Linked DNA regions of Arabidopsis thaliana. The protein of the gene in region 1 interacts with the protein of each later gene in a biochemical or structural test. Each region holds a gene or a part of one and is shown in the gene's direction. Other genes may lie near its edges. The genes, in order: VPS45 and SYP41.

Region 1 (13,475 bases):
CACCCCAATGCCAAAGCATACTCTCCCAAAAGCAGAAATCTTCGAAACAAGTCTTAAGTCTCTTGTCTTTGATCTTTATCTTCCAATGTCCATCTTTGTAGTTCCCTTTCTCTGCTTGTCTCCTATCCCATTCAAGTTGCGCCTTCTGTTTCGATCTTAGTAGACAGAACTTATGCAAGTTTTCAGGCATTGCGTCGTGCACTCTCCACCAGGTTTTATGAGCCTCGTCACTAGCAAATTCCTGGAAAATATCGACATTCCAATTGCAGTCATAGTCTCTGAAGCATAACCAGGGTTTGTTATAACCTAGGTAATGAAGAACGTATAGGATCGGAGGATCAGCTCCAAATAGACTCGTCTTCATTTTTTTAATCTCAGGTTCGTCTCCTTCCCAGAAATGCTTCAAGAAATTCATGTGTTTTGGAATCCGATGCCACCATGTGAATATCTCGTTAAGGTAACCTTGGTCTCCTCCGTTGTAAGACACAACTTCATTAATGTTATCCATTAGTAACTGGAATGTTGAATTAGATGGCTCAACCACCATTAGACCAGAGTTGAAGAGCGTAGCATTGTTTCCAGTTGCTGATATCTCAGGGAACTCGAAGAGGAAATCAATGTTTCTCAGGATAAGCATGTCTGCATCGATGAAGATGATCTTACTGTATTCAGTCAGTTGCCAAAGACGAAACTTGCTGTAGTTCCATTCGTTGTAGGCATTTGGTACAGCATTCGGGTTCCTGATTCTTTGAAACATTTGAATCTTCCATCCAGCAGCTACCAAGCCACTTTTATGGTATTCGCTTATCGTTTCATCAACAAGTATGACCAGATCACGAGTAGAGCCTGACATTCGAATGCTCTGTGCAGCTGCAATGGCTCCACAGACATAAAATTGGGCAGAATGCAAGATAGTCGCGTAAGCTTCTTTCTTTGCACCTGCGGAGTAGAAATTATCTGCAGTTGAAATAAACATAATCAGCTTAGGAGGGGAGAACTAGCTGAGACTGAAAACGAAGAAACTTGCTACTAACCTTTAGCTTGAAGAGGAACAGAAAGTTCACAGGAACCAACAGGAAGCTGTAACTTTTGTCTTAGCTGGTGAAGATTAGGCTTATACAGCCATATGTTTCCTTGACGGGCAACAAGTTCTTGACCCGTAAAAAGATTCGGTATTGGAAAGCAATCAGATACCAAAATCACATGAACATTATGAAGTCCTTTAGAAGAAGCCGCCACTCGAGCTGCTGCAAGTTGTAAATGCAAGCGAGCCACATCTCTAGACCATTTTCCTGATTTATCACACGGAAGCTTGGCAATTACAAGATCAATCCGAGGCTTGCCAGGAATTTGAATCAAAGGCAGAGAAGGACAAGTAGGGACTTCGAATTCTTCAACTTCATCAATCCATTCCGGGTATAAAGATTCCCATGTTATGTTCTTTGCAGCATAATCTAGATGCAAAGCTACATGATCACAGTCAGATTTCGTTACCTCCTTGAATCGATCAATCTCGTTATCGTTAAGATTTATAAGACCAATTCCTTGATACTCGCTTCTACCAAATACGTGCTTCTCAACAAGATTTGACATATGGTTCCAGTTGATCTCAGCTGTAGCTACATAGCGAGGATCAGTAGTAAGACCAAAACTAGTTGGAATTTCAGGAATTTGTAGCGGTGGATAACGAAAACGGTAGATCGTGAACAAAGCTCCAAGCATTATACAAATCAACACAAGTTTCAGAGTGTTGAACTTGACACCCTTCTCAATTCTTTGAAATCTCCTCCTACTTGTCTTCTCACTACACACAACAAAACAAACGAATGAGTCATTATCTATGTCAATCCAACAGATAGATAAACATAGATCGCTTGTGAAACACATTTCTGAATCAAAAACAAAATCGAAGATCTGATTTCCAGAAAAGTCAACCATGTGTGTGAAGCTACTAAGTTAACTAAGAATAGTACGTAGTGTTCATGAAACTAGAGAAACTAATGAAGAATAAGAAGAAGAAGACGAAGACTAACTTTGAGAACGAGAGTCGATGTCTTGACTCCATGGGACTTGAGGAAGGTATCATCGTCTCCGTAAGACCAGGGTCGGTTTCGAGAATTTCATAATCGCCTGGTAAACAACAAAAGACGAGACATTTTAGGGATTTGGGAAGGAGAAATTAATTTGATTTTGGACCAAGGCACAAAACGGTGCGTATTAGGAAAATGAGATTTTTAGAAGTCCGTGTTTTGCAAAACGAACCTTTACTTATCAGGTATTTGTTATTTTAACCCCTACTCTAATGTTTGAATAAATTTTAACCAGAAAACGAAAATCACACACAGTAGTACGGTTTTACGCGGTGGAGGAAGAATCAGCAGCGACGGTGGAGTTGGTCTGAGTCTCACCCCAATGCCAAAGCATACTCTCCCAGAAACAGAAATCTTCAAAACAAGTCGTAAGTCTCTTATCTTTGATCTTAATCCTCCAATGTCCGTCTCTGTAATTCGCTTTCTCAGCTTGTCTCCGATCCCACTCAAGTTGCGCCTTTTGTTTCGAACTCAGTAGACAAAACCTCTGCAATTTCTTAGGCATCGCGTCGTGCACTCTCCACCAAGTTTTGTGTGCTTCATCGCTCGCGAATTGATGGTATCCAACGACATTCCAATTGCAATCGTAGTCTCTGAAGCATACCCATGGTTTGTTGTAACCTAGGTAATGAAGAACGTAGAGTATCGGAGGATCAGCTCCAAATAGTCTCGTCTTAGATTTCCTGTGCTTAGGTGTGTCTCCTTCCCAGAAATGCTTCAAGAAATTCATGTGTTTTGGAATCCGATGCCACCATGTGAATATCTCGTTAAGGTAACCTTGGTCTCCTCCATTGTAGGAATTGATATCGTTGATGTGATCCATTAGTAACTGGAATGTTGAATTTGATGGTTCAATCACCATTAGACCGGAGTTGAAGAGCGTACCGTCGTTTCCAGTTGTGGAGATTTCGGGGTACTCGAAGAGGAAATCCATGTTTCTGAGGATAAGCATGTCTGCATCAATGAAGATGATCTTGTTGTATTCTGTCAATTCCCAAAGACGGAATTTGCTGTAGTTCCATTGGTTATATGCATTTGCTTCAGCTTTCGGGTTTCTGATTCTTTGAAATGTGTGAATCTTCCATCCAGCTGATTCCAAGCCACTTCTATGGTATTCACTGATCGAATCATCGACTAGTATTACCAAATTGCGAGTAGAGCCTGACATTCGAATGCTCTGTGCTACTGCAATGGCTCCACAGACAAAAGCATCATCTGAGTGCAAGATCGTCGCGTACGCTTCTTTCTTGGCATTTGCCGAGTAGAAATTATCTGCAATTGAATCATAATCAGCTTAGGAGGAGAGAATAGAGATGTCAAATTTAGCTGATACAAAAGACGAAGAAACTTACTACTGAGTCACTGACCTTTAGCTTGAAGAGGAACAGAAAGTTCACAGGAACCAACAGGAAGTTGTAACTTTTGTCTTAACTGGTGAAGTTTAGGCTTATACAGCCATATGTTTCCTTGACGGGCAACAAGTTCTTGACCCGTAAAAAGATTCGGTATTGGAAAGCAATCTGATACCAAAATCACATGAACATCATGAAGCCCTTCAGAAGATGCCGCCACTCGAGCTGCTGCAAGTTGTAAGTGCAATCTAGCCACATCTCTTGACCATTTTCCTGACTTGTTACATGGGAGCTTGGCAATGATAAGATCGATTCGAGACTTGTCAGGAACTTGAATCCAAGGAAGAGAAGGACAAGTGGGGACTTTGAATTTTTCTTCCTCGTCAATCCATTCCGGGTATAAAGATTTCCAAGTTATGTTACTTGCAGCATGGTCTAGATGCAAAGCTATATGCTGACAGTGAGATTTTATGACCACCTGCCATCGATTAATCTCGTTATCGTTGAGATTTAGAAAGCCAATTCCTTGATACTCGCTTCTGCCAGATAAGTAATGCTCAACAACAAGTGACATACTGTTCCAGTTGATCTCAGATGTAGCTATATAGCGAGGATCTGTGGTTACAGCAGGTTCTAGTATCCATTTGTTTGCAAAACTTGATGGATCTTCAGGAATTTGCAACGGTGGAGAACAGTAGAGTGTGAACATAGCAACCAGCATCATAAGAAACAAAACAAGTTTCAGACTAGAGAAGTTGACACACATTTCAACATCGAGAGTGTATCCGTTTCTTTGGAATCTCTTCGTTTTTGTTTTCTCACTATATATGTAAAACAAATGCACTATGTCAAGCCAACAGATGAATACAGATCTCTGTAATGCACATACTCAACCACATTGCTCTCATGATCTATGATCCTATCTGATTCCCCTAAGTTAGGTAAAGTAGTTTCCATTGAACTCAAGAAACTGATGAAGTAGAAGAGAAAAAGACTTACCTGGAAATGTAAAGTCGATGACTTGACTGACTTGACGGCGCCATGGGACTTTCAGAAGAGAGCTTCATTCTCACTGTAAGAATATTAAGTTTGACTTTCCTGAGTGAGAGACTACATGAAGCTGGATGCATCGAGCATTACAATAATCACACGTTTTTGACGCTAATCCAAATTATATTATATTAGCGGACGGATCGGAACAAAATCAACACGATGGGTCAATGTTAAGTTTGAATTTTTTTGCGGAAAAATCCTGATCTATTAGATGTTTCCTTTGTAAAACCCTGATGTTTTATTACTTAATAAATAAACCCTCAAATTAGGTTCAGTTAATCAAAAATTAAGTTTGTGTTGAAAAGAGGAATAACCAATAAAATATAGGGTTTGTTTTGCAAAAACACTTTTCTTCGTATGAGTCGACGAGTCTGGGGACCTTTTAGTTTTCTCGATTAAGGAAAGGAAGATCTGAAAGTGAACGCGAAATCACTTCGCCAGCGTTATTGTTAACAAGAATCATCAGATTAGTCGCCGTAGATCTGAATCAACGTCGTAACAGTAGCAGAATTTTGCGGTGAAACGATGGTTTTGGTTACGTCTGTGCGTGATTACATTAACCGGATGCTTCAGGACATCTCCGGCATGAAGGTTCTCATACTCGACTCCGAAACGGTAAAGTCCGATCTCGTCTTCTTCGATTGCTAATCTTCTCTGATTTGTTTCTGGAATCGTGGTTCATAATTTCCCTTGTAACCGGAAACACATCTTCGTGATTACTTGTTTATTGGATTAATTGTTGAATTTGCAGGTTAGCAATGTAAGCATTGTGTATTCACAGTCAGAGCTGCTTCAGAAAGAAGTGTTTCTGGTGGAGATGATAGATTCAATATCTGTGTCAAAAGAATCGATGTCACATCTGAAAGCTGTTTATTTCATCCGTCCAACTTCAGATAATATTCAGAAATTACGATACCAGCTTGCGAATCCTAGATTTGGAGAATACCATTTATGTATGATTTTTTCATCTTCTAACTATTTCGAGTTTATCATTGTTCACTCACAATATACAAAATTTGATGTTGTTTTTGTTATGAATTCTTTCAGTTTTCTCCAATCTGTTGAAGGATACTCAGATTCATATTTTGGCTGATTCCGATGAGCAGGAAGTTGTACAGCAAGTTCAGGTGATTTTTAGACTTCCCTCATCCATGATGTTTTTGAATAGGAGGCTAATGCTAAAAGAATGTTTCATAGCCTATATGATGGATCAATATATGTATAGATTTTTAGCTGTCTCTGAGAAGTTGCTTGGTTTGTGATGAAACGGCCATACTTGTGGAGCTTAGTATCCCCCCTACCTGTCTTTAGTTTTCTGATTTAAACTTATATTGCTTGGTGCACTCGGCATAGTACTGTATAATGGCTTGTTTAACATAGTCTTTGTGGTTTTTTATATTGCAGGAGTATTATGCAGACTTTGTTTCTGGTGATCCATATCATTTCACATTGAATATGGCATCAAATCATCTATATATGATCCCCGCAGTTGTCGATCCCTCTGGTTTGCAACGCTTTTCCGATCGGGTTGTTGATGGAATTGCGGCAGTGTTTCTGGCGTTGAAACGAAGACCTGTCATCAGATATCAGAGGACCTCTGATACTGCAAAAAGGATTGCACACGAAACAGCTGTAAGTGAAGTTGTTTGACAAGCTCTCGTAAAGTTATTTGTTCCCGCTATATTTTGCATGCATGTGATGGAACTAATTCCCACTTGTGTCTATCCAATAGTCTGAAAATTCGCTGTTTATGTTTCAGAAATTGATGTATCAGCATGAAAGCGCTCTTTTTGACTTTAGACGGACTGAAAGCTCTCCGTTGCTACTTGTAATTGACAGAAGAGATGACCCGGTTACCCCATTGCTGAATCAGTGGACATATCAGGTAACTTGACTAAACAAAATTATTGTGCTACTCTATGATATAAGATGTGCCTCCCGCTGTCTTGCTTTTTTGTAAGACTACGACTTACTAATTAACGAGATTTTCTGTAGGCAATGGTGCACGAACTCATAGGACTTCAAGATAATAAAGTGGACTTGAAATCCATTGGAAGTCTTCCAAAAGATCAGCAAGTGGTTAGTTTTCTCCAATGCCATTGTTTTTTAGTTGAGAACCTTACAGCTAATATGTCTCTTATCCTGGCAGGAGGTGGTTTTATCATCAGAACAAGATGCATTTTTCAAATCTAACATGTATGAAAATTTTGGGGATATTGGAATGAACATCAAGCGAATGGTAGATGACTTTCAGCAGGTGGCCAAGAGTAACCAAAATATCCAGACAGTAGGTACAAATATGGCTAGTCTTAAACTATTCTCTGCAAAAACTTTTGTAACAACAGATTCTCGTGCTAGTGACAATTATATATCTGTGAATTCGTTGGTTGTACAGAGGATATGGCCAGATTTGTTGACAACTACCCTGAGTACAAAAAGATGCAAGGCAACGTTTCAAAGCATGTAACTCTGGTTACTGAAATGAGCAAGCTAGTTGAAGCAAGGAAACTGATGACGGTTTCACAAACAGAGCAGGACTTGGCTTGCAATGGTGGCCAAGGAGCTGCATATGAGGTAGTGAATATCTGTGGTGAACATTCACTTGTAGTCGCATATATTAAAAAATAGCTACAACCTGCAGAAGTTCTTACTGAATAATTTGGCATTCAATAATTTGGAGTCTCATGCGAATGTAATCCAGTGAACCTGCAGAAGTTAGCGAAATATGCAAAATTGTGCAGACTCTGCTGTAAGCACGGAGCTCTGACTCTCTATTCATGCTTATTTGCAGGCAGTTACGGATCTCTTAAATAATGAAAGTGTGTCTGACATCGACCGGCTGCGTTTGGTAATGCTATATGCTTTGCGCTATGAGAAAGAAAATCCTGTTCAGTTGATGCAATTGTTCAACAAATTGGCTTCACGGTCTCCCAAGTACAAACCAGGGGTACAGTCAGACTATCATCTGTTTCCTTTCAGTTTAAATTGCATCTCTTTCTTGTGGCTTTATTATTCTGCATCTCTTTTAAGGTTGATTTTGATCTGTCCCTCTGCTACTACTATACTTGTTAACCTATCTGCAATTCCGTCCATAGTAGTTTTACCTTTTCGTTTTTATTTTTGAATAACTTGATAAAAGTACCCTCAAATCATGTTATAACTTTCTGGTTGCCATGCAACTGCAGCTAGTTCAATTTCTCTTGAAACAAGCCGGTGTGGAGAAGCGCACTGGTGATCTATTTGGAAACAGAGATCTTTTGAATATAGCACGTAACATGGCTCGTGGACTTAAGGTCTGTATCTGAGTTAACTCGTCTCCAGCAACATTCTATATCTCCCTATATATATGTCATGTTACTGACATCTTGAAAAATACAGGGTGTTGAGAATGTCTACACTCAACATCAGCCTCTTCTGTTTCAAACAATGGAGAGCATAACTAGAGGGAGATTACGAGATGTGGATTACCCATTTGTTGGAGATCATTTTCAACAGGGACGGTATGTGCCTCTAATTTTTTCAATTTCTTAAAACAGGTAACTTGTTTGATAGTTACAGATTTCTGCAATTCGTGAAAACTTACATAACTAATCAAAAACTGCAAAATTTCTGGATAAACAGGCCACAAGAGGTGGTTATTTTTATGGTTGGTGGAACAACATACGAGGAATCACGCTCTGTTGCTCTACAGAATGCCACCAACTCCGGGGTTCGGTTTATTCTCGGCGGCACCGCAGTGCTTAATTCCAAGAGGTAATGCTGAGGTTAAGACAGTGTGTGCAAATGAGCCTCGATTGGTTTTGAGTTCTAGGTCGAAACAGCACTGATCAACTAAAATATCAACATTGGTTAAGTCATAGAAGGCCCAAACCGAAATTGCTGTTTGAATTAAATAATAACTAGGAATCTAAATTGGTCTACAAAGTTCATGAAAGTGTATTATAAGAGAAATGTAAGCTGAAAAGTGAATTTGGTTGTGACAGATTTCTAAAGGACTTGGAAGAAGCACAAAGGATATCAAGATCAGGTAGCCATATGGTGTGAAGAAGATCCAAAAGAATTTTGTGTAAATTATTTTTTAAGTCTTAAGATTCTTCCGGGGAGCACATAGAAGAAAGAGACAAATGAAAGAAGAAGATTGTGGTCAGGTTCGTCGAATCTTTCGTATACATGATGATGATTACCCCACCAGAGATTTAATTTTTGGGGTTTGTGTGTGTATTCATCGTGGTACAGTTTAATTGGACCGTTCTTCTTACACAATTATGGCTAATCAAGAAAATGTAACCTGAGGAAATTTTACTCCTCTATCATAATTGCACAAAACAGAATTAATAATCTTTTTCAAAATTATAATAACACTTTAGACAAAAACCAGAGAGATTTCATAACAAAAAATCTTTATTACTCTTAAAAAACAAAATCATATGTGGAATTTTTGAAATATTACTAGTTTACTACTCCCTTTTATAATAATGAATAAAATCACTTTTATAATAGTAAATTAGTAATGAGTAAAATCTGACTGACGTCAATCAAAAGTAAGTACCGATTTGGGAAAGAGAACAATCAAAGAGAAAACATAAAAACAGAGCTCTTTTGAGTATATATGGAGTATCTTATGTAGCTCGGCTACTGTCGCCGTTGGATTTCTCAAATGTCGTAATATGATGTGAGAGCGAAGCTGACACAACTCTCTGTCTCTGCTCTGGAAGCATTTTTACTTGTTGTTCTTTCACACATACACACTTCACAGAAACCCTCCATTACAACATAATAGTATATATTTACTATACATTCCAAAAAAATCATTAGGTTTACTTTTACATCCAAATTTCATACTTTTAACAAAGCGATTATGTGCAATTTAATCCTCTATCAAGTTGGATTTTGAGGGGTTAAAATTGTTTGAAGTCAACTAGCAAAAGTCTCATTCTTGAGAAATATTCGTCTTGCGGTAATTTTTGCTATAGTTTTATTAAAACGTCAAATCAGTAATAAAAACAATTAAAGAATTGAGGAGCTCGAGAAAAGTTCTTCACATACATCTCTTTCTTTCTGCTTAGCTCTTAAGCAGTCTCTGACTGTCCATTTCATATCAAATTTTAAAACTATTGACTATACTAGATCCTTCTCTGTTTCTTCGATCCCTTCATCTAAATTGTCTCCTCTCTTTATTTATTATTTATTCAATTCGATTACGTATATAATTTTTAAGTTAACTAGATAATGCATAATTTCTTAGTTAATTAGTTATCTGACTTTTTGAATTTTGATTACTGTGTGCTTAGCCGAAGTTTCTAGCAAACTACCACGGATTTAAATTCGAAAGAATAAAGCGTGACGAAATAGATAAGACAAAAAAGAAGAAGGAGAGATTACTTATCAAAGTACATATGGTTGAAAGTGATGGTTTGGTTATTAATTAATTACAGTTTTAACTTTAGATATTTTGTCTGTGGTCTTATATATACACCTCATCGTTCTTATCATATGATTCTGATTTTAGATATTCGTAAGAAAATTACCAATTGGTTACATTTTCAACAACGAATGCAAATATGCAATTCATGCTAAATTGGAAAATTTGTCATCCCAACTTTCATGAAAAGTCAGTGCTGGAGGGTTTTAGAGGTTGAGCATTTAAATCAAATTCTTTTGATTTCTGAAAGAAAAATTTACTACAAAAAAAAAGGAAGTTTAACTTTTTAAGAAAATATTGAATGTTTTTCACTGATCTAATTATAGTGAATCTAATATATCACTTTTACTTTTCATGAATTATGTTAATTTGTAATTTTGTATATTCAGTAACATTCATGTTACTTATAAAAAAGGTTCATTATACACTATTATATTATATTCAAATCAGTTTTTTGTAACGTTATAACCGTTTTTTTTTTAAACACTCTTTTTTTGTCGCTAAAAAAACACTCTACATAAGAGTCTCTAGTACTAAAATTTCGATTATTCGACTATTAAATTCTGTCGTTTTAGTTTTCAACTCACATGTTAATTAAACTCTCTATGTTGTTCTTTTAGAAAATGTTGTTCTACAATTCATCTAAATCTTTAGGACTACAATACATGTCAACCTTAAACCAAAATATAACCATGGTCCATATATAGGAGATAAACATTCAAAATGAATAAAAATGTATTTATCTAATTCAGCATCTTCAAAGAAGTAGTCTTCGTATCAAATGTATTATCCACCATAATCAAATAGTATAATCTTAAACCAAAAGAGCTTTAGTTTACCGTCTCACTTAAATGGAAATTTGCATCACGACAAAAATACATATTATAGAGTAATCCATCGGCTATTGATACAAGTAGAAGATGCAATATAGATAGCATCAGAAAAAAACCTGACACAACAAGCCCAACATTTTTTTTAAGCAATTCAAAAATTTCAAGAACACCCCCAAAAAGGAATAATCATACGAAAAAAACAACTCCGATGTTTTTAAGTTTTAAGTTTTAAAAACTGATAAGCAAAGAAAAAGAAAACGCTGCGCATCCCTCTCAGCATCCCTCTCAGAAAATAGGAAAACAACACTTAGTTTTCGGACCACTACCACTTACTGTCCAAGTCCTAGCTTCACCTCTTCCTTCACTACCATCATCAAACACAGACCAAGACCAAGAACCTTTCTTACAACCGGAGACTCTTCGACGATTCTCTGGTAGCCACTTGGACTGCATGTATCTCGTAGTCCTCCATGGAGGCCTAGACATTCCTTCTTTCTTCATGGACTTTTTCATCTCACCACAAACCAACGAAACAACTCTTCTCAGTCTCCCTTCTGTCGCCACAAACACTAATGGAAGCATCTCAGTCATATCTTTGTAAGCTTCTGTCTGTCTCGCTAGCTCAAACTGAGTTTTGAAGTCAAGATCAATTATCACACGTTTCAGCTTGCTTACGCCATCACGGTTGCTATCACCCTTCACCATGACGTCAATGTACTCATACTTCCTCGAGCACCTAAACACTCTACACCCTGTAACAACATTTTCACAAACAAAACCCACAAATAAATATCTTATCATCACAAAACCCACAAATAAATAACTTATCAAAAACCCACAAATAAATAACTTATCATAAAAAAACCCAAAAAAGTAAAGAAATAGAGACTTTCCCATTGTTATCTAATAGTCAAGGAAAAGGTCAAAGGTTGTTTTTATATGGATCTTTCTAGATATTCATATATATTATCTTTCTTTGAAAGTGTGTTGTTTACCTTCACGATGATCAAAAGAAGAGTCCCATGAGGTTTTGGAGAGAGAAGCATCATAGCCTTCAGATCTGAGTTTAGAGACAATCTTGTTCATCACATCTCTCTTCTCATCGTCTCCTTCATATGATAACCTTCCTCCATTGATAAACGACCATATCTTCTCTTCCATCTCCTTCTCTTTTTCTCCTTTTGCCCTAAGAATCTCCTGTAAAAATATTTCTAGCTAGGTTTAACCTTTTTATCCAGAAAAAAAAAGAGAAAATGTATTTGGTGAAAAGAGATATGTAGAGACCTTAAGAGTGATAAGAGCCGTTGTAGAACTCTCAATATGCTGGGAGACGGTGATCGGAGACTCGATATAATCGAGCACAAGCTTCTCTAAATCTTCTTCTCCCAAGCTTCCCATCTCAAAATGTTCTTTCACCTGTGTCTCTTCCTATTCTTCTAGGTTTTTTTTTTTTTGAGAAAAAGGTTGTGAGGGCAAAAGTTATTATGCAGTTGAGTCTCTTTATGAATATAACTGAGTGACGTGTGTCATAATCTTATCCATTGTCATTTGCATTATTAAATGAACTGTTTTATTATTCGTTTTCTAATGTTTTGTTGTATTAGCTTATATGTTTTAGATAACATGAGTTTGCGTCGTGACTTTTCTTTCTTTTTTGCCCTTTTCTTCGAAATACAAACTACTTTGCGTTTGATGTCATACGCGACTGTATAAAAAGTCGTTTCATGTCATTTTCCACTTGTCGTATATTCCACATAGTCGATGCTTGAGATTATAATTATGTATACGTGGATATTTTAGATTAAACTCAATTCGTAAGTCTTGATTTTTATTTAATATTTTTTGATATTTTAATTTGTTTTAGAATGTTATATCTAATAAAGTGGTAATTTCACTATGTCTAATCACACAAAAAATAGTACTAGTTTTTTTTTTTTTTAAATGAAATATTAATTGATCAGGAGTCTATATAGAAGATATATTCATATTATTCAAAGAAATTAAAATTAATATTATTTTTCGTTGATTTGGACCGATCCCTCAGTCTTTGGTAAAATCACAATGTCAACACTCAACAGAAAACCAAAATGCAAAACCCTCACGAGACTAATGTTTCTTCAATACTTTATCTGTGTCTATTGAATTATCGATCAAAGTAGATAGATATGCACGTCATAGCATATACTATAATGTTGATCGAAATGGGCTCACCATCGATCCAAACTCACTGTCACATATTTGGAAGCAAGGTTATCTCGTAATCAATTTTGTCTGTTCATTGATGGCTAAACCATCTTATATAACCTTTTAATAGATTTTGTCTTATACGACGATACCACACGCATATATATATACTTATCAAGATAAAATATTAGCATGACGATATTGAATCTCTAAGATAATTATAATAATAATCCGAGTGACGGTAGCTAATAATCCGATGATTTACAGCGTTTTGATTTGGATGCTCTCTAGTCACATGGAATTTAAAATTTTCGTATTGGGCTATAATAACTCGTTTAAACTTGCAATTGTTGGAATTAAGACGGGCTAAAAGCGTGTGGACCGTATCTTCTTTATTTGTATAATTTTTGCTTTGAAATTCGGTCCTACCTTCTTATTTTCCGAAATGAAATCAGTAAACCGGAAATTGAACACATTAAACCGGATTCCTGAAATTAGCGGAGTTAAATCGAGTTTTAAACCCCTCTGACATGATCATGAT
Region 2 (12,199 bases), on another chromosome or scaffold:
TAATTTATCTTTTTCTTTTATTCTATAAAAGTTACAACTATTTTCCATTTATGTAATGGATCCTAAGAATATTTGTGTAGAGTAGTGTGTGATTTCAATAAAATATTTTCAATAAATTTTGATCATTAGGTACTGACTAATCGGATTATGAAACATGGACATTAAAACTATATAAATATTTTTGAATACATACTTTTATCATTTAGGAGAATTTCAAACTAACTTATGTGAAGTATATAAATTCTAATAAATTTATATACTTCGCATACGGGATTTATATATATTTTTTCATCAAATCAATCCACTGTTTCCAAACTATAAGTTTGTTTCGTAGTCACATTCGCATAATACCTGTTTTCCAATGTATGAATCTACTAGTCGATTTTTTCCCAATAACTTTTACTTCGTAACATATTGACATTAAATAATGATTCAATACAATTATTAGTGCATATGAAGAAGTTAAATTTATGTTGTTACATTTATATTATCCTTAATTAATGTTAATACTTGAAAAAAACATGATTACAAAATCCAATCTAAAACATTTATAATTCTATAGCTGAGAATTAACTCTCTGCATATCACAAACATTAGTATCCCCTATCCATCTATAAAATATAAGTACATGCATGATTTGTAGATTCCACAAATTTATCTCATTTTATATCATAAAATCTTTTTAATGATTTCATCCTATTTATTACTATACATAACTTATTATTGGGTGAAACTTTGATATAACAAAATTTTTGCAGTCATTTATAACTTTGGGCATGCATATTTCAGTAGTTTTTGAAAACTAGTATAAAAATATATTCAAACCCAAGCTTCGGATCCTAACCATAGGAAAGAAAAAATAGGCGCGTATTTTCGATCGACGTGGCTAATTATAAAATCAATGGTTTAGATTAAGGATTACATTAAAATAAATACTCGGGCCGAAATCAAATGGCCCACTAAAAAAGGCAGCCCAGAAACATGCTGGCTAAAGTGAGGATTAGGCACATAAAGTTTTCAGTTCATAAAAAGCACACATCAATTTCTGAACCTCCACTTTTTTCTTCTCTTCTTTCAACTTTTACACTAAAATTAGTTTTGCACTATTTAACTACATGTCATCTCCCCCATAAATAGACAAAAATATTGAATTATTTTCCATGATCTATAAATATGCTGTTATAAGATTTTAGCTAGTGGGGATAATAATATCTACATTGCATGTATTATTATCATATCTTTTAGAAGAAAAAAAATCAAGAATGTCTCTTTATTGACATTGAAAATACAGAAATCTAAGTACCAACTTTTAAAAATGAACATGACCCTTTTTGCCAAACACAGTGAACACACCAACCTGTAAAAGTATAGCTTTGCTTAGATAGATAGTTTCTTTTGATATATTTATGATTATGTGTGTGTGTATGTATACGTTTTAGTGGTCCAATTCAATGGATCTTAATAATAAATGGATTATTGCATCCGAAATGGGACCGTTTATTACTAATTTTGTAACAATTAAGACCCTTAAGTGCATAGTTTTAAGTTGAGGCAGTTATTAGCTCTTTTGGGGGAGAATTTAATCAAGTTAATTAAATTGCTAAGTGGAAGAAATCATTTCATTTGCTTCCTAATTAGTAGGAGACACAGACCAAACATCACTTTCACTAATGACATGTTTATCTCTGTTTAGATATCTAAGGGTGTTACTTAGTTACGATATACATAAATAGATAATAACAATGCTTAGCATAATTATTAAAGATTGGACACAAGACGACAAAAGAGGTTAAGATGATAATGATTTGATGTACTTGGAAAACACTTTTGATTTGTTTAGGGCTTTGGAAAGGGTCCTCAAGTGTCTACTTTATCTTTGGGAATGGAACATTAAGAATAGTAAACAAGGTCTACTGTCTCTCCCGACGTAAACACTTTGGCCTTGAATAGATTGTTGTGGTAACATAACAGCGAATGTTGTGATAGCAACTAAGTGTCTATCTAATTGACTATATAATTATTTATAGTTTTAGATCAATACTAGTAAGATTATAGTTCCTTGGATTGTAAATTTTGGTATTTCCAACACTTTAAAACGATTGCTGGATCTTTAAAAATCAATTGGATGACACAATGCTTGAAAGAAAATGGTCTATTAAGTTCTCAAGTTCGAGTGGAGCTTCCAAACAAAGTGCGCCTCAAGGTATCAAGTTCGAGTTTTGTTAGCGGAGAAAAGACTAATTAACATGTTATGGTCTCCAACCCAAAACTCGAAACATCTTGGTTACAAAAACAAAATGCACATACTAAAAAATAATATAGTTCTCACTATTAATATCCGGCTCAAAGAAGTGTTTGAGGCAATAGGCAAAATGTACACACTACTCTTTCATATTCTCTGAACAAATTCTTATATCAATCAATCAACAAATCTATACAACTCTCTTAATTCTCATATTTATGGATATGGGCTAGAAATATAAGGTTGCCTCTTCTTCTTCTTTTTTTGGCATAACGTTTTGGGGGATAATTTAGTATTAAGACTTCAATGCAAATACATTGCTTAAAGTTCTACTAGATGTTTTGTCTTCGTAGAGGTCAGGAGATCAACAAAGACAGAAAGAACAATAGTAGTCAATACGAAAATATATTGTGTTGTCACTCTTCCGATTCTGAATTTATTCTGTGGTCATCAATATTGAAGTAACAACAACTAAACAACTAACGCAGACATTGACTGGGCCTAGAACATCCGGCCCATGTGTACAACAAAAAAAACTCATGTAGTACGTTGTTGGAAACCAGGAGCTTAAAAAACGACGATGTGTTGACAAAAATAGTCCCACATCGCTTAGATCCAAAATAATGACAAGGGGACGCAGAGTATATATAGAGAAGCAGACGTTTCGAGCAAATTACTTACCTGGACGGGGTCTACTCGCGATCAACAAGACGAGTGGCCTAGGCTAGTGACCGCATTGCACATACCGTTGGGGTGCTATGCCTAAGGTCTTCCCTTGAGGAGGATCCTACGTCATTATTTGTGGCAGAAGGGGTTTGCGTTCGCGCAGCCCCTACCATTCAATTAGTCTCAATCTGTTATGCCTTAGGTTAGAAACCTGTTTTCAATATGGACAAAACAGAAATATCAGGAACTCAAGTGACGACGTGTACATTATATTGTTTGGTACACCAAAAAGTCCCACATCGGAAGCATATATTGGCTTCATAGGTTTTGCTTGGCTATAAATTAAGAGGCTCTCACTCTGTAGAAAGTCATCTTTGCGCTTGGGGCAATGACGCAGCTAATGAGGTCTTAACCGAGGCGCGTCTATTGCTGGTTGAAAACTATTTCCAAACCCCCTCCTAGGCCTAAGCTTGTCTTGGGCCTTCGAGAATTTCTGGAAGAGCTCCCTTCCGGGTAAAGCTCTACAATTCTTAGTTCAATTTTTATCCTTTAGGTTATGTCCTTGTCTAGTTGGTTGGTTTACACATTTTTAATTTGTCAAAACCGAAAATTAAAACTCTGCGATCTTTCTAACCCCAAATAGTTTCATCAAACTTTTGATACAAAACACCATAGTAAGACCAGAAAACTCAGTGCAAATATATGATCAAATACATACCTTTTTTTGGTTTCTTTTTGTAAGACCTACGGTGTACAGACAATTCGAGTGTTCATTAAAGCAAATATGTAGTTCATAAGTTAAAAATAATACTCATTATCATGTCTCTCTTTTACATTATTCTGCTTATTCCCAAACCCTTTCCCAAATCAATTGTTGCGTTTAACACAACAAAGCCGTTACATTTTCCAATCGCTGAATCATCTAACCGTAGACAAGTTACCGGAATATGTTTCTCCTTTATAAGCCGTCTTCAAGAATCATAGAGCTCAATATCCCTTGAACGAACTCGCTCTGTTTCAACTTTTCTCTGTGATCCTCTGCTGAAAGAGACTGCTTCTCAACATTCCTGTATAAGACAGATCAAGACAAGAACCATCATAACAAACTCTGCAATTTGCATTTCTACAACAACAACAAAAAAAACACTCAGATCACAAGAGCTTTTAGGTTATTGGTAAAACAAGGGATCAACTAAATTCCATTAAGGCTCATAAAAACTAAGGATGAGTAATATGCGATGACTTAACAAGAATGATCAAGAAATCAATGAGGATATCATCCAGAAGTGTAATCCAAATGAGAATGTGGAAGCATACCTTTCAGGCAAACTCTGATTCAATGTTTTCTTGGCAGAACTTGTGTCTGCACATAGACTTGACTCAGAAATGAAAAAGTCATCAGCCATTGGTGAAATGAATGAAGACAGTAAAGGATCAGCAGCTATACTGGCAGAAGAAGAGGATACAGCACGTGATGTTCCTTCAAATAGGCTCTGAAAATTTCCATCAGGAAACTCTCTCTTCAAGATCGATAGCATGGATTGAGCCCCGCCTCTTCTTGATTTCCTTTTCCGCGTCACGTAATATTTTGTTAAGGAATGTAACTGTTAGAGATAAAATCTTTATTATGATAGTAGAAAAGATAGAACAATAAAGCAACAAGAGTATAAACTCAATAGAATCCTCCAAAGCTCTCAATTGCTTGGTTAGGTTTCACAAACAAAACCTAACCCTTACTTCTAACAGAACATAAATAAAAGACTCTAGGAAAAGTAAATCCTAAACTATTTCCTAAATCATAAATCAGGAAGTATTCATATCATTAACACAACTCATTGGAAGAATCAGATAAGTACATGATCGTTAAAAATATAACTGGTAGAGAGAGCAAAAAGGATATCTTGAACATATTTGCATGTTGTAGGGTTATATGAGCAATCATATCAGAGCTCACTTTCACCGCACAAATGGGACATACCTACAAGATTAACAATGTCAAAACGCAGAATTGAAAACAAATCTTGCTATTGTAGCAATAAACAAGTGTCCTAGAGTTGATTTCTTCTCTGAGGAACACTGAGTGGCAATTCCAAATACTATTTCGACGCATTTCATTAGGTTACTTTCACTTTCTTTATATCCAAGACCAGTAACTACTAAACATAGAACAGTGCTCTTACCAAGAATGATATGATGAAACAATAAATAGATTTTGATTCAAAACGAGAGAAAGGTAACATTGAGGAAATATCTACCCCATTTTTTGCATCCATAGGATGATCTTCATCAATGTGACAGCATAGAGAGACGATATCAAAATAGTCTGAACAGAACGGGCAAGCATACTCCTCCCTGAAGTCATCTTCTCCTTCTATCTCCTCAAACCCCAAGAAATTGTCTGCGTTTTTCAAAAATGAAGAAACTAGTCAAACACGGCCAAGAGAACATTCGAAAATGTGACAACTACAAAACAAAAGCCTAGAAAATAAAATGACAACTACAAAACAAAAGCCTAGAAAATAAAATGGGAAATACTAAAAACGCGTTCCATTCTCGAAGTTCCAATACAAATGGGTTTCAGAAGAAACATCAAAGATATCTAAATAAACGAATGGAAACTAGTAGATCATAAAACCTTCCCTGGCAAAGACGTCTAAGTTTGAGATGAAACTAAAGCTTTTAAAAACGTTTTTACCAACAAGAAGTTTTGTATTTACTTGTAAGTCAAACAAGAATCATCAAGATTCCAGCTTTTGACATTAAGTTCATACCAAAACCTAGAAACAAAACACACACGCTTAATCAATCCCTAAAGCCTCACATTAGTAAAATGCCTCAAAAGACAGAATTTATTTCCTCCATTTTCCTTAAATTCAATATCAGCAAAACAAACATTTGAACAATCACCATTTCAAATATTCAGAACAAGACACAATCAATGTCTTGTCCCATTTTGTTCGGAAAACCAGAACAGTAACAAAAATGTCAATCTCTTACAGTCAATCTCGATCCTTGATCAATTCAAAAGAAAACAAATTTGAGGTCTAAATATCATTGATATTTTTGCAATAGAATCAAGATTAAATTTAAGACAAAACCAATCAAATCTCAAATTAAGAAAGAACAAATCCAAGTTATAATTTTTATCAAACTCACCAGATCGAGACAAGAAATCGAGCTGATATCTTCTTGAAGCCGATGCGAGACGATCACTCCAAGAATCAGAATCCATTTTTTCTACGAAGATTATTACAAATCGAAACCAAAGAATCCACTTTTTCAACAACAACAACAAAAAATCAAATAAATTCCAAGAATCCGAATTGATCTTGAGTCCGGATAAAACAAAAACAGAGATATTCCGATTCAAGAATCAAAAGATTCCGACGAAATGCAAAGACGAAGACGACGACGACGATTTTGCGTCTTTTTTTTCTGGAATTCGTCTTTTTATCTTCTTTTTTTATTATGGTTTTTAATTCTTTGGATATAGAGAGAGAGAGAGAGTGAAAGACATAGAAGAGATGAGTTCTATTACATGTATTAAATTGTTTTTTAACAGCCCGCACGAATGCATGCCGTTTAAACCTTTTACCCGCCGTGTTTTTCCCTTTTGGAATATCAAAACGTCATGCTGTTAGTACGACGCTTACGTGTCGAAATATTATTGGTTTGTATTTGGTAAGCTGGTGAAACAGGACAAAGTTAGCCGCGCAACTGTTTTTTAACTTTTTTTTTTACTGTTTCCAAAGTTTTAAGTTTTGGGGAAATAGTGAAAAGTGAAAACCTCAATTTGCAAATCTGAGAGTTTACTTTCCTCATCGGAAAAAGTTTTGATCTCGCCGCTCTCCGAGCACTTCCTTGTCGGAGTCCCAATTTTTGTGTTCGGTTTTATTCTCGGTCGATGATGAAGCCGCGATTGTGTTCAGATCGGAGCTGATTTCGAATTTGGATGTGAAATTGAGATTCTAGGGATTTCAAATTTTGACGATCATGGCGACGAGGAATCGTACGTTGCTGTTTAGGAAGTACAGAAACTCTCTGAGAAGCGTCAGAGCTCCATTGTCGTCATCTTCATTGACGGGAACACGATCCGGCGGCGTTGGTCCGGTGATCGAGATGGCGAGTACTTCGTTATTGAATCCGAATCGCTCTTACGCTCCTATTAGTACCGAAGATCCTGGAACTTCTAGGTACTCTTCTCTCTCTTTATCAGTGAAAATGGTGAACAATTTGATCAATTAGGGTTAACTGGAAATGATTAGCTTAGCAATGAGAATGATAATACATCATTGATAGTGTAGTTGAAGTAAATGTCTGTGAGCTACGTTAAGCTGAGAGTTAGTAGTTACTGAGATATTTTTGGTCATGTTTTAGTAAAGGTGCGATAACAGTGGGCTTACCACCAGCTTGGGTTGATGTCTCTGAGGAGATATCTGTGAATATACAGCGTGCAAGGACTAAAATGGCTGAGTTGGGAAAGGCTCATGCCAAGGCGTTAATGCCATCGTTTGGGGATGGTAAAGAAGATCAACATAATATTGAGTCTTTGACACAGGAGATAACTTTTCTATTGAAGAAGTCTGAGAAGCAACTTCAGAGGCTTTCTGCTTCAGGGCCTTCTGAAGATTCAAATGTTAGGAAAAATGTGCAGGTAGTTTTGACTTGATGGAAGCTGCTCTTAACACATTTCCTTTCTTTTTGCTGCATTTGCCATTGCTATCTAAGATTTATCATGTGTGTTTAATAACAGCGGTCTCTTGCCACTGACCTCCAACTTCTTTCTATGGAGCTTCGCAAAAAACAGTCAACATATTTGAAACGCTTGAGGCAGCAAAAAGAGGTATGAAACTATTATCTATTTTAGTGTAATTGGCATTTCTTATACCGGAAACTATGTGATGTTGCAGTGTCTCATTCTTTGAAGTTTTTGTTTGCTTTCTGCTCCTCCGCCTCAAATGAAACTTCTTTACATCGATTTCATAGATGATAGATTCTTTTAGTACTTGTTTTTTCAGAGTATATTATTCTGTCCTCTCAAGAAGCTTTGACTTGAAATGTATTATCATTTATCAGGATGGGATGGATTTAGAGATGAATCTGAGCAGAAACAGATATAGACCTGAAGAGGATGACTTTGGCGATATGGTTTGACTCCTATACCTGTTTCATTCTATCGATTTAAAGCAATCATTCGTCTTATGTCTTCTTTATTGATGGAATTTTTTCTCGATTCCTTTTTAGTTAAACGAGCATCAGATGTCAAAGATAAAAAAGAGTGAAGAAGTATCTGTAGAGAGGGAGAAAGAGATACAACAGGCAAGTGCTTGCACTACGTCTTTGTTCTTAGTTGTTTGTAGCTCACCAACGTTTTTTTTTTTCTTTTGCAATCAATCATAATCTTTTTTCTTCTTCGTTGTCTGTGTCATTGTCCAGGTTGTAGAATCAGTAAACGATCTTGCTCAAATTATGAAGGATCTTTCTGCACTTGTGATAGATCAGGTTAAACTTATTTAATCCCATATTCTCTTTGTCTAGCTTTTGAGTCTTCTTCCTTTCGAAAAACAAACTCAAAGCAACCCGTTTAATTGCAGGGTACAATAGTTGATCGGATAGACTATAATATCGAAAACGTCGCTACTACTGTTGAAGATGGTCTCAAACAACTACAGAAGGTAAAAATAGTGTTCTCTCTTCAACATTAATGTCCAACTATTTGTTTGTCCCAATTCTAAATGAAGTGGATCGCATAAAAAAACTTCACAGGCAGAGCGAACGCAGAGACATGGAGGTATGGTGAAGTGCGCATCCGTGCTTGTCATCCTCTGTTTCATCATGCTGCTACTCTTAATCCTCAAGGAAATATTCTTGTGATCGGATACTATAATCCCTGGTTAGATCAATAAGAAAAGTTCGATCCTTAACTATTTCATTCTTTAGCCCCGAACATCGCATGTTTTCCTTCAGGGCTTTTGGTTTCAACTTCTTTGCATTTAACAATACTAAGATCCTTTGCAGAGTAGTTAGTACGTAATATTATTGTGTAGAAGAAGACCATAGATAGTCAGAGGTCGATGTCTGAGGAGTTGAGAGATCTGTGCACCAACGCCAAAATACTCTCTTCACGCTAAAGTCAAGTGTTCTTTTAAAATGTATAAGATTCCAGTCATAGTTGTTGGAACTTGTTTTTGACAAAATGGTTTTGACCATTGTAACTTGTGGATTTTCCGGTGAAGACGTTCATTGGAGTGACCAGATTTCGGGCAAGATGGAATCGTAGCTGCGAGCACTACATGGTGGAGTATTCAAATGTGAAAACGAGTTTGTTTGAAATCTTTTACTTTCCGGTTATTGTATCTTCGCATAAATTACAAATTCTCAACATTCTAGTTCTTTTAAAAACATATATCATTTACAAATGTATAAATATTTTTCACTTGAAACAATGAAAACTTTATACACGTTTTTGTGATGAGTTAATATGAATTAAATTACATCTCAAGTTCTCAACTCTAGTTTGAAATTGGTCATGCCAAATAGCCTAATTGAACTTGTATTGTTATTGTGTCATTATCATGGTTCAAACCCATATTATAATCATACTGTTGACAAAAATTATAATTTTAATATTAAATTTGTGTTATTATTTTTGTAGATAATTAGCTGGAGGGTTTTTAAAAGAAAAATATAAAAAAAAAATTAAATAATGATTATATCAGCGCTTAAAAAAGATAGTATTATCCTGGATAGCACATTATTTTTTTTATCTGTTTCTAATGATTCTTTAAATTACCTTTAAATATAATAAATTACATATCTAAGAATTTTTTAAAATTTATGATAATATTTTATCTTTTTTAAATGTAGCATGTATATAATAAATTTAAAACTTATATTATATATAGTGCTTCAATAAAATCCTTGAACATGTATAACCAAAAAAAAACCTCAAACAACATGTGCATGGATGTTTACCAATTATCATTTAAAATATAGTTATCTTATTTACAATGGATGTTTACCAATTATTGGTTATATATTTATTTACAAAAATAAAATGAAAAAAAGTAGTTGATGGTTTTAGTCTTTTTTTCGCAATAGGGATAATTTTATTGTTTAAGTCAAATATTACATGGATTATGAAATACCCCAGAACAAAAAAGCTACAGAAACATATTAGGCCCAACTAAAGCCCAACAGAGAAACCGTCTATGGAAGAAGAAATATTATCTTTTGTCTCTATCCAAAGCCACGTGTCTTCTGCTGGAGAGAAACCAATACACGTACTGGATGAGAATCCAAAGTTTTCCCGACTTCATCCTTCGCCGTCAAACATCGACTCCGGTGAAGATTCAACGTCGATTAACAAATCAAACATGGAATCTTATGGGTTTTCACCGGTAAAAATAATCGAAGCCCTAATTAGAGAAACAACAGCTCAAGGTAATGTTAATATGCAACGGAAATCACTTTTTTTTCCAACTCAAATCTCTGATTTGTTTCCTGCAATTCTAAACTCAAAAAGAAAAACAGGTTAGATAATAAGTAACAAAAAGCGAAAACCGCTCTATCATTATCACCAACACATCTCAAATGAGATTTATTGAAAGCAAAGCTAATTTATGAAAAAACAAAAAGCAGCAAAAGAACGCTGACGGCATAGCCGACCATCATCACTGTGAAAGCTGAATGATACCGGACAAGAGCTGGCCAACACCGGAAAGAACTGGTAATTGCCAGACGATAATCCCTATCAGAGAAGACGGTAGCCGGAAAAAAATTCGGACGGCAAAGTGAGTTTGAGGTTTCTCTCTCTCTGAAAGAATTTAGAAAGAGAAGAGAGAGAAAAAACTTTGGTACTTAATTAATTATTTAAGTAATTAATTGATGATTTTAGTTTGTCTTGGAAACATACTTAAAACCAAAAAAATATGGAAATGGATTGTAATTTGTCTTGGAAACATACTTAAAACCACTCAAAAAACTAGATTTCCTGTTTTTTTTTGGAGAAATGTTTTTGAAAAACCACAATCATTTAAGGCCTTGTAGTTTTATTGCCAATGGAGTATGAGTTACTATCAAAAATTGAAAAACAAGTGAAATTCATATCCTTTTTAGTCTTAGCTGTATAATTTTCTGCATGGCCGGATCTAGTTAGTACCTAATATAAGTTAAACTATACAAAGTTATAGTTAAGATTACTTCATTAATTATATTAAAAGAGGATTAGTACTTTAGTAGATAACCCATAAACGAAAGCTAAGTAGTTGAATTTGCATGTGTACGTATATGGAGTATAAAGCAGTATGTACTATTTATTTATTTAGTGCATAGTCTTTTTACTTTCTTAAATCACACTTCCCTCTCAACTCCGTAACTCCCACAGATATAATAATTTATTTTATTTTCATATCTTAGAATTAAATTTGTTCTCTGAAGATAATTCTGATGTCAGAAAACTGCAATTCTCGCCATTTCTCATGGCTCATGAAATCTTGTTTACCAAATCCCTCCGACGCCAAATCACTAGTCCAGATCCACCAACCGTCGTCCACGGCGGCGAATTCTTCAGCTACAATCGCTTCTCTACCTGACGATTTACTCCTCGAATGTATCTCAAGAGTCCCTTCCTCTTCAATTCCTTCTCTCGCCGTCGTTTGTCGCCGTTGGTCTCGTCTCCTCCACTCTCCTTACTTTCTCCATCTCCGTCGTCGTTTAGGTTTGCTCCGACATTCTCTCTTCGCGATATCCACCGTCGATTCAGGACTTTTCGCCGCGGATTTGCAGTTTCAGTCCGAGATTGCGTCGTGGAAAGTGTCTCTTGCGGTTTCGAGTAGGTCTGTTGGCGTTGACGGTAGTTATGGAAGTTTATCTCATGCTCGCGCGGCGGCGATTGGACCTAGGGTTTATGTTGTTAGTAGAAATGCTGTTTTGAGATACGATTCGTGGATGGGAACGCTTAATTTGAGATCTCCGATGATTTTCCCTCGGAAGAAATTCGCAATCGCGGTTGTTTCTGGTAAGATCTACGTTGCTGGAGGTGGTGGTGGTTCGGAGGTTGCGGCGGCGGTGGAAGAGTATGATCCGGAGTTGAATCGGTGGGAAGTTGTGACTCAATCGGCGAGGAAGAGATACGGTTGCATCGGAGCAGCCGTTGACGGAGTTTTTTATGTGATCGGTGGATTGAAAATTGGGAATGAGACCTCACGCGCGGTGGCGGCGCGTGCTTATGCGAGCTCTATGGATCTTTTCGATGTGGAGTCGCGTCAGTGGTTAAGGAGTCGTTCGGTT

What was found.
Region 2: the proteins of VPS45 (region 1) and SYP41 form a complex in vitro, tested with the Arabidopsis thaliana proteins (one study listed by BioGRID).

Annotation. Positions count from the first base shown.
Region 1 is NC_003070.9:28,979,143-28,992,617, forward strand, and holds VPS45 (vacuolar protein sorting 45), read left to right. Parts: upstream 1-4,791; 5' UTR 4,792-5,020; coding exon 5,021-5,110; intron 5,111-5,246; coding exon 5,247-5,448; intron 5,449-5,542; coding exon 5,543-5,622; intron 5,623-5,899; coding exon 5,900-6,127; intron 6,128-6,254; coding exon 6,255-6,380; intron 6,381-6,490; coding exon 6,491-6,574; intron 6,575-6,644; coding exon 6,645-6,786; intron 6,787-6,890; coding exon 6,891-7,069; intron 7,070-7,286; coding exon 7,287-7,442; intron 7,443-7,680; coding exon 7,681-7,788; intron 7,789-7,873; coding exon 7,874-7,995; intron 7,996-8,116; coding exon 8,117-8,248; intron 8,249-8,478; coding exon 8,479-8,539; 3' UTR 8,540-8,893; downstream 8,894-13,475. Other genes in the region: PGSIP2 (plant glycogenin-like starch initiation protein 2), read right to left, coding at 1-957, 1,035-1,804, 2,034-2,086; AT1G77145 (transmembrane protein, putative (DUF506)), read right to left, coding at 11,036-11,502, 11,746-11,947, 12,035-12,148. UniProt on the Arabidopsis thaliana protein: Involved in the protein transport to the vacuole, probably at the level of vesicle fusion at the trans-Golgi network (TGN) and not in transport from the TGN to the prevacuolar compartment, by promoting the recycling of vacuolar sorting receptors back to the TGN.
Region 2 is NC_003076.8:9,485,307-9,497,505, reverse strand, and holds SYP41 (syntaxin of plants 41), read left to right. Parts: upstream 1-6,413; 5' UTR 6,414-6,901; coding exon 6,902-7,101; intron 7,102-7,285; coding exon 7,286-7,562; intron 7,563-7,661; coding exon 7,662-7,751; intron 7,752-7,984; coding exon 7,985-8,056; intron 8,057-8,152; coding exon 8,153-8,227; intron 8,228-8,344; coding exon 8,345-8,410; intron 8,411-8,502; coding exon 8,503-8,583; intron 8,584-8,674; coding exon 8,675-8,782; 3' UTR 8,783-9,373; downstream 9,374-12,199. Other genes in the region: AT5G26990 (Drought-responsive family protein), read right to left, coding at 3,867-3,975, 4,226-4,488, 4,809-4,886, 5,164-5,306, 6,065-6,140; AT5G26970 (uncharacterized protein), read left to right, coding at 10,120-10,446; AT5G26960 (Galactose oxidase/kelch repeat superfamily protein), read left to right, coding at 11,357-12,199. UniProt on the Arabidopsis thaliana protein: Contributes to the regulation of secretory and vacuolar transport pathways in the post-Golgi network, and to the maintenance of the Golgi apparatus and trans-Golgi network (TGN) morphologies. Together with VTI12, required for membrane fusion.